Linked DNA regions of Bombyx mori. The protein of the gene in region 1 interacts with the protein of each later gene in a biochemical or structural test. Links are inferred from orthologs where the notes say so. Each region holds a gene or a part of one and is shown on either strand. Other genes may lie near its edges.

What was found.
Region 2: the proteins of flap endonuclease 1 (region 1) and checkpoint protein HUS1 form a complex in vitro, tested with the Homo sapiens proteins (2 studies listed by BioGRID). The link is inferred for Bombyx mori from reciprocal best matches to the Homo sapiens genes FEN1 and HUS1.

Annotation. Positions count from the first base shown.
Region 1 is NC_085126.1:8,812,823-8,817,476, forward strand, and holds the end of flap endonuclease 1, read left to right. Parts: intron 1-1,029; coding exon 1,030-1,248; intron 1,249-2,195; coding exon 2,196-2,345; intron 2,346-3,115; coding exon 3,116-3,223; 3' UTR 3,224-3,938; downstream 3,939-4,654. Other genes in the region: glucose-6-phosphate isomerase, read right to left, coding at 4,472-4,654. UniProt on the Homo sapiens protein: Structure-specific nuclease with 5'-flap endonuclease and 5'-3' exonuclease activities involved in DNA replication and repair.
Region 2 is NC_085134.1:9,690,720-9,695,373, forward strand, and holds the start of checkpoint protein HUS1, read left to right. Parts: upstream 1-1,516; 5' UTR 1,517-1,734; coding exon 1,735-1,786; intron 1,787-1,839; exon of another isoform or gene 1,840-1,853; coding exon 1,854-2,060; intron 2,061-3,363; coding exon 3,364-3,464; intron 3,465-4,485; coding exon 4,486-4,596; intron 4,597-4,654. UniProt on the Homo sapiens protein: Component of the 9-1-1 cell-cycle checkpoint response complex that plays a major role in DNA repair. The 9-1-1 complex is recruited to DNA lesion upon damage by the RAD17-replication factor C (RFC) clamp loader complex.

The DNA.
Region 1 (4,654 bases):
GCATTCCGTATCAGACAGTCATTCAGTCCGTATCGGACGGTCCGTCCGTCTCAGTCAGTGAGTCTCTGGCAGTCAGTCAGTCGGTCTGTCGCTATGTGGAACGAAACTGTCGGTTTACCCTGTCATTGTGAAAGTTGTGTGTTTTGAGTTTCAATAATTATTATTCAAAAGTTTTATTGACTAAACTGAGTTCAATCGAATACAAGTGATGACGGAAACAACCGCTTAGCCATCCCTGGCGCTGCGCCGACATATAGATAATTATTACATCTAATTAGCGTTATATATGTGCCACAATGTCAAACCTCTAAACAGTTCCCTCTAAAAATTTCAAATGCATTGTTGTTAAATAATCGGTGAGTTTAATCACATATTTTACAAGAGTGCTACAATAGTCTGGATTTATATAGACAGCTACATTAGATACTAACTGGAAGAGGTGGAGGTTGTGGCATCAAGACTTTTTTTTTATATTATTACGTTTCACATCTGAGGAGTGAAAGGTTATTTATTGGTTTAAGTGACATTTTTGTAACATTACAAGAGAGCCATTGAGAGTTTATAATTTGGAAAAAAAACATAACATTAAAACTTATTGAGCTATTTCAATGAAGTAAACTTAATTTAAGTTCAATTTAAAACATTGAACTGTTGATGATAATACCAAATAAAAGCCACCTTTAATTACAAAGATAAATGTCGTGCATTAAGGGAAATGTCCCTTAAACTATATATAGCTATATAACTATACTTGAGACCACCGCCCCACCTATTTCTGCCGTGAAGCAGTATTGCGTTTGGGTTTGAAGGGTGGGGCAGCCGTTGTAACTGAGACCTTAGAACTTGTATCTCAAGGTGGGTGGCGCATTTACGTTGTGGATGTCTATGGGCTCCAGTAACCACTTAACACCAGGTGGGCTGTGAGCTCGTCCACCCATCTAAGCAATAAAAAATAAAATAGCCTTGATCCCTCAATATTTTGATTTACAAAACTACTCTGGAATAATAATGATGGAACTGTTGTTACAGTTTATTGACCTCTGCATACTCCTTGGCTGTGATTACTGTGGTTCCATTAGAGGGGTTGGCCCAAAACGAGCCATCGACCTCATAAGACAACATCGGACACTGGATGAAGTACTCAAGAATATAGACACTGAGAAGTACCAACCTCCCACTGACTGGGATTACGAGCGAGCTAGGAGTCTGTTCATGGAACCTGAAGTCGCTGACCCTAAAGACATTGAGGTATGAATTTTTATTTTAAAACTTGAGCCCTAGTATACCATTTTTGCTGGAAGTAAGGAGTATTAATAGCCTACAACAATTAATCTGCTTTGTGGTAGCTATCACTGTCTGTATACATAATATGCTAGGAAATATTGTGCCCCAAGATACTGTTGAGTCTATATCGGGCAAGGATTTTTTTTATTTTTTATTTATTGCCTGGATGTGTGGATGAGCTCACCTGGTGCTAAGTGGTTACTGGAACCCATAGACATCTACAACGTAAATGCACCACACACCTTGAGATATAAGTTCTAAGGTCTCAGTATAGTTACAACGGCTGCTCCACCCTTCAAACCGAAATGCATTACTGCTTCACGGCAGAAATAGGCAGGGTGGTGGTACTTACCCGTGCGGACTCACAAGAGGTCCTACCACCAGTAAGATTACCAGGATTAATAAGACACGTGTTTCGCTAAGTGACTAACGTATATTGGGATTACAACGTAACGTGCTATCGACAGCCCGACAATCCCGAAACTGACGTAGCATAATTGCAATGTAATAATTTTTTTTTTTTTTTTAAATAATTAAATAAATAAATATTTACTAACAATCACGCCACGTTAACTGGTCCCGTGATAAGTTCATAAAGAACTTGTGTTACAGGTACCAGATAACGGATATAAATGTAAGATTTTTATTATACACATACATATATTTAATATACATCCATAACCCTGGAAAAGACATTTACATTTATCATACAAATATCTTCCCTTGGCGGGATTCGAACCCGCGACCCCCTTGTGTAGTGACCATGTCACTTACCACTACACCAGACGGCCGTTTAATTACAGCTAACACATACATATAATTATTAGTTGCTATGGGGACATTTGTGGTCCCTACAACACTTCAACAAATGAATTTTATTCATAAAGATAATTTTAATTCTAAATTAACAGCTGAAATGGACTGATCCCGATGAAGAGGGCCTCGTGAAGTTTCTGTGTGGGGACAGACAGTTCAATGAAGAACGAGTGAGGAATGGAGCTAAGAAGTTAATTAAAGCCAGGACGGGCACCACACAGGCCAGATTAGATGGGTTCTTCACGGTATTTACAGTTCAATTTTGTATTACGTTTCGTCATATGTGATACTTGGAAGCTTATTGCTATATATCGGTAATGAGCCACAAATATCTACATACATTTTATAAGGAACCTGTAAGCTTATTTGCTTCCTCCTCCAAAATAAATTACCGGATTCATCTTTCTTAACTCTTGGGTTTCATATACAGGGTGTATAGAGATTGTTCCCAAAGACATAACGTAATTGACAAGCTTTTTTGTTTTCTAAATAATTTTAATAGGATAGTGTAACAGGCATGTAATGCAAGTAACATTAGTAAAGCCTAATTTTTTACATGCAGTATTTTTATATCACCGATCTACCACCATTAGACATGAGGTAAAAATATGAATTGTAGCAGAAGAGCCGGAACTTAAGTACCTACCGGTGGAGACTTCATACCAGTAATATTCAATTATAAATCTATATATATATATGTATATAAAAATGAATCGCTGTTCGTTAGTCTCGCTAAAACTCGAGAACGGCAGGACCGATTTGGTTAATTTTGGTCTTGAATTATTTGTGGAAGTTCAGAGAAAGTTTAAAAGGTAGATAAATATGAAAATGCTCGGAATTAAATAAAAATAACAATTTTGTTTTCCCTTTGATGTGTCCCCCGTCGGACGGATTCCTTTTGTTTGTTTTAAGTTTATTTTATACAAAAGTTTAAGTCTTTTATAGGCATTACGGGTCTGCCGGATCAGCTAATTACATTTAAAAATATGTACATATATGTTCATGCTATCAACAGTTAACGACAACGCCTAATTCGAAACGTAAAGCTGAAGAGGACAAGAAGAATTCAGCAAAGAAGAAAACTAAGACCGGAGGTGGAGGACGCGGTCGGAAACCGAAATGATTATGTGAGTCAATTAATATCTATGTACGGATAGATTCCTCGAACTAAAATAAACAGTTGTCAAAGCCGATAATGGGTTAATGTACCTTTTCTGAAAAACAAAACAATAATCATTTGTAAATCAAAGTTGTGTAGATATAAAATTTCGATACATATTCGAAGTTCATCGCGCAAGGGAAATTTTTTAATAAAAAGTTGCCTCTAACCACATCATATGAAAGACTGGTGTTGGCCATGTACCCTGTCTATTTCTGCCGTGAAGCAGTAATGCGTTTCGGTTTGAAGGGTGAAGCAGCCGTTGTAACTATACTGAGACCTTAGAACTTATATCTCACGGTGTGTGGCGCATTTACGTTGTAGATGTCTATGGGCTCCAGTAACCACTTAACACCAGGTGGGCTGTGAGCTCGTCCACTCATCTATGGAATTAAAAAAAATAAAAAATTGGCTGATACACAAGTTCATCGACCTCCTGTGACGCGTTGAATTACCTTCACTTTACATTCCAGTCCACTAAATAATCTATAAATCTTTTAAAACAACAAGCATAAACTTATACTTATAACTATATATTTCAAATAATTATTGTTGTATATTTACATTAAATACAGCAATTTGTATTCCCATTTCGGCTTTAAGAACACATGTATCTATGTATCATCCTGTAATTCTAAGACATGATTGAATTGAATAAAACTATTGTGTTTTTTTTAAATATCTTTTTTAATTATCCTTACTAAAATAATTTAACAAAATAATATATTTAAAAAAATATATGCAAACAAGACCTCAAACATTGTTCTTTGTTCAAAACTAACGAATATCAGTCGTTATGATTATTGATGATGTTTTATATTGTGCACAATTAAGAACTAAGAACTTTTAATTCCGGCAAATACATATGTGAGTCGTCTATTATCAAAGGTGGCAACCTGTGCATTTGGCCAAAAAAATGTTATTGATATGTCAATACAGATTGATTTGAATATAATCGTCTCCTTCAAAGAATACGGTTCAAAACCTGCATTAAATAAAGGTTAATACTTAACCTGTGATTTATCTAGGATGTCGTTCAGAAGAGTTTTGTGACTGCCAATGGAATACAAAGTCAATAATTCGTTTTTCTGATTTACCAATAATTGTCCAAAAGTCACATTGCCGGCTTTGATAATAGTCGACTCATGTCTCGATTACACATATAACCACCAAAGCAAATTAAACTATGTGTGACGTCATTCTACTATAATCTCAAAAGTTCTTCTTGAGGAAGTTAATGAGTCCATTCGTGGAAGCGTCGTGGCCGGTCACAGCTGCAGTCCCCTGCAGCTCAGGCTCGATTGCCTTGGCCAATTGCTTGCCGAGTTCAACTCCCCATTGATCGTATGAATTGATATCCCAGATCACACCTTGCGTGAAGATCTTGTGTTCGTA
Region 2 (4,654 bases), on another chromosome or scaffold:
CACAATTCGTTAGTTTTCGTTACACTCAAAATGGAACATCGCTTACCTTTTTTCGCATACCGTAAAACTCTCGTGCAAGATAGAGACAAATACCTAACCGTAAACAGAAACTTGTCAACATGGATGACATGTTAGCGCCATCTACCTTCAAGACCAGTGACGTTTGTACTCTATGGTCAAAGCTGCCAGATCGCAAAGGAATGGATTCGACTAAATCAAGTTCAAATCATCATCATTCAATCATCAAAAGATACATTTATTAAAAATAATTATCAGTTGAATACATCTAAAATATTCTATTCAACTGATAATTACTTCGAACCAACCATTATTAAAAACGCGATTATTATTATTTAGTCCGCAAATGACCCATGGTACAATGATTCAAGTACCGACAGTCATAATGGTCTGTTAATGCCTTCAGGATGCTGTTAGGGCTGACCCGGACCCGGCGAATCAGGGATGTGCATCTTTTCCGCATGGTCTTAAAGAATCAATCGACTCGTGCTTCGGCGAACATTATAACATTATAACAAGTAGGTACCACCACCCTGCCTATTTTCTGCGGTGAAATCGTAATGCGTTTCGGTTTTGTATTGTGGGGCAGCCATTATAACTATACTTGGGATCTTAGAACTTATATCTCAAGGTGGGTGCATTTACGTTGTCCTTGGGCTCCAGTAACCACTTAACACCAGGTGGGCTGTGAGCTCGTCTATCCATCTAAGCAATAAAGGCTGAATCTTGTTAACAACATTTTCAAGATAAATTTGCATAGATACGAGTTTCGAACCACAACATTAGAACCGTTAGTCTACCGAGCAATTTTATCCGCTCGGTGTAAGATCTTACCTTTTTTGTTAACACCCAAACTACTAAACTCTGTGATAGAGACAGTTACATGTAAATGTATGCACCTATACCTACATATTAAATATTTATCATCGCCAATATTAACACACATTCTTTACAATAGAACGAATTTTGTATCAAACTTCGTCTCACGCTGAAAAGATACTCTGATCTTTTCTTTTAGGTGCTTCCGGCTCACGTAGTATATCCTATACGTACAGATGTAGCAGATTCAGACTGGCGTAAACGAGAGTTTTCTTCTTTAACAGAAGATGATCAACAAAAACGGTAGAAATATCCTAATATTTTCTTACGAGCATCATTCTACATTTAGGGACTAAATCAATTGGCTCTGTAAGATACCTTAAGCACACATTCCGAAAAACTTTAATTAGCTAAAAGTCTCTGTTATTTAAAACACCGTTTAGCAAGAATGTTTAAAATTACAAATTGAATATTGTAGGAGCATTCTTGTCAAAGATCAAAGCCATTACTTATTTCTCGGCTTTCTTAACAGTTTCATCGGGGTATCTCATTATTATTAGTTCACAGAAACTACAGCTGGATAGCCTTCGTTACTTATTCTCAATGAACCAAAATGTTTGCATCATGAAATCACCTTTGCACTTTAAGTCGATTTCAATACTGATAAGAGTTTTTGTGCAGTTGCAATACTAGCCAAATCTATATTGTCAATGCTCACTCAATTTTCGCGCTGCCTAAGTTTTGAAAACAACACAGTATTGGAAAAATAAAACATAAATTACATGTCGAAACTGTGTTTAGTTACTAATTATTATATATCTTAAAATAGTGTGCAATTCATCATCTCATTTTGCACGAATTAAACAACTGTTTTCAAAAGACGAAAAACATATCACTATGAAATTCCGTGCTGTTATGAATAACTCTTCTCCAATACGCGAATTCTCAAGTAAAACTCCGCTTTAATGGTGTTGCTTACTAGTTTTTGATTATTGTAACCAGAATTTTGTTTTCAGCTATTGTTAGTACAATATCAAAACTGTCTAAGGAGTGTGTCCTAAGGATAGCAGACGATATGTTGTATTTCATTGTCAGCGATGAAAACACTGGACCAGCCCCTCCGGTACTATGGTGTGAAATACCACAAAGTGTATTTTTCTCTGAATATCAATTGGTTGGAATGGATGAAACTCACCAAGACATTTATTTAGGATTGAATTCGGGTATTATAATTTCCATTAAAAAGTGCTATGATAAAATAAATAAATTATTCTTGGTGAATATTTCCAATATCAAATGTTTAGATATTGATAATCATTGATATTAACTTAATAGCCATTAAGTTTAAAAAAGTGGTGATCTTCATTCAGGTACATCTTAAATAAATAATAAATTGTTGTTTTCCCAATACCATTTAAAGTTTCATGGTGTCTAGAAATATATAAAATAAAAAAATTTAAAATATAAAGAGTGGAAAAATTTTAGGACTAGCTGACCTTAAGCTTATGCTTAAGATGCCAGACTTCCAGACCCTTAGGGGTTATAATCAGATATTAGAAATCATTGTTTACTTGCACTCCAAAATGTTTTAAATGATAATCATGCAATATTAATAGCTTAAACCTCTTTTCACATGTATTTATATTTTGCCTAGCATTCTTTGTTTAATACACTGTTCAACATAGAGAAAATTAAATAACAATAAACATAAGAGACAATTGAACACAAATGTAATTTAAGTGTTTGGCATGGTTAGGTTGTGTGTGTTAGGTGTTATCTGTAAGATTTTGGTGTTTGTGTGTAGGAATTAGCAGTTTATAAACAGTTCTGAAACTGTTCGTTTTTTATGACAATGTGTTGCACTTTTTTTTTACTTAGATGGGTGGACCAGTTAAGTGGTTACTGGAGCCCATAGACATCCACAATGTAAATGCGTCACCCACCTTGAGATATAACTTCTAAGGTCTCAAGTATAGTTACAACGGCTGGCCAGCCCTTCAAACCGAAACGCATTACTGCTTCACGGCAGAAATAGGCAGGGCGGTGGTACCTACCCGTGCGGACTCACAAGAGGTCCTACCACCAGTGTACTTAAAGTAAAATAATCAACAGTATCTTAGATACTTATTTATATTGAATACTTGAGGACTGTTAGATCGTTTTCCAAGTTATCATAGTTAGTTCTTGTAACCAATCCATCAATTTCATTATGCATCATTTAGTTTAGTTTGCCAAATCACAAAAAACCCTTGATTTTCCTGTAACAACCACCCCTATAGCAAAGTATCAATAACAATGCTTTAAAAATAAATATTACAGACAGACAGACAAAAAATCATGTTACTGTGCAGTAAATTACTATAAGGAATGTTGAATTTTAATGTGTTCCTTTTTTATTGCTAATAAACAGAATCATGGCCCCTCTAAAGCCCATCATCATTCGTGAATATCAGTAATACTAGGAGCATGGCTGTGGCAGATAGCAAAATTGTAAAATGCCGTAATACAACTTACTGTAATTTTCAGGTAATCTCGCAAGATCTTTTGTCTCCTTGAAAAATGTAAAATCATTAAAAATGAAGTTAACAAAGAAACAGTGTCCGTGCCTAACATTGGAAATTGAAGTGGTATGCTTTTAATAAATAGCACCTGTTCACTTATGACTTGGTTAATGTAGACCTAGGAATGACCTTAATAAAATGAAGCCCCACGGATTTGTTAATATGTAACACATTAGAAATCTTGAGTCTTCTAATTGTTGCCTTTATCCCGTAGTGTAGAGGACCTATTCATTCATGTCAGCATGTCCTCTTTCTCTATTCAGACCTATCATACGTTATCTCTGCACTCACACCCTTCTCTCACATGTGCTCTTTCACGCAGTCCATCCAAGTGTTATTAGGCGGTCCCTCATTAGAAATGTTCACTATTAATATTTATTTAGTAACTAGTGAAATTAAATCGCCCTCTGCCGGTACTATTCTTAATTGATTTCCACCTAGTTGATTTATATTCTAAATACTATTGCAAGTTTCATAAGATGTAGAATGTAAGAATGTGTAAAAAACATGCATTCATTTTTATTGAAATCAAAGACTACACTAATGTTGTAAGTATCAAGTTCCAGTATAGTGCTTATTTCGATTTTTAAACAATCAAACGCACCCCCGCCTTTGGATTAAAATTTGTCAATACTATTTGAAAGTGTTGTGTTTATTCACAGTGCATTTGCAGAGATATTTTCCACATACCATCTGGTTCTGCAATTAACTCACCCCTTTCCTTAGCGCTATGACATGTGCTTCTTCAAACAAGGCTTACAAAGAGTACTTAGCGGTTGCAACTTGGCTGTGCCTCTGGCATTGCTGACATTGCTTCATGTATGAGGGCAACTACTCCCCATCAGGTGTCCACAAGCCTGTCTGTTTACAAAGGCCATAAAAAACGCTGCATTGCTATTTGCATCTTGTTAGTCTTCAGTCGTGTCTAATAAAATCAGGTAAAGTTATGCTGTGCCTGTGTGCTTATTGACAAATCCTCCAAACACCCCATAAATCTTTATGATACATCTACTTAAAAATCAATTACAATTTGGAATGCTTAGTTTGAAAAATGGAAATCTTTGATGTACATGTCGCTTGTTTGCAGCCGTCTACAACCTCTCATCAGACGAGGCAGATTGTGCATGACATTCCAGTAGCAGTTGTGCCATGGAAAAACTGGCCAGACTTTTATGAACCCAGAGTACCAGATCCTGATGTTAGTATTACTTCATCATCATCATCATCTTAGGCTGTCCATCCACTGATGTCCAGTA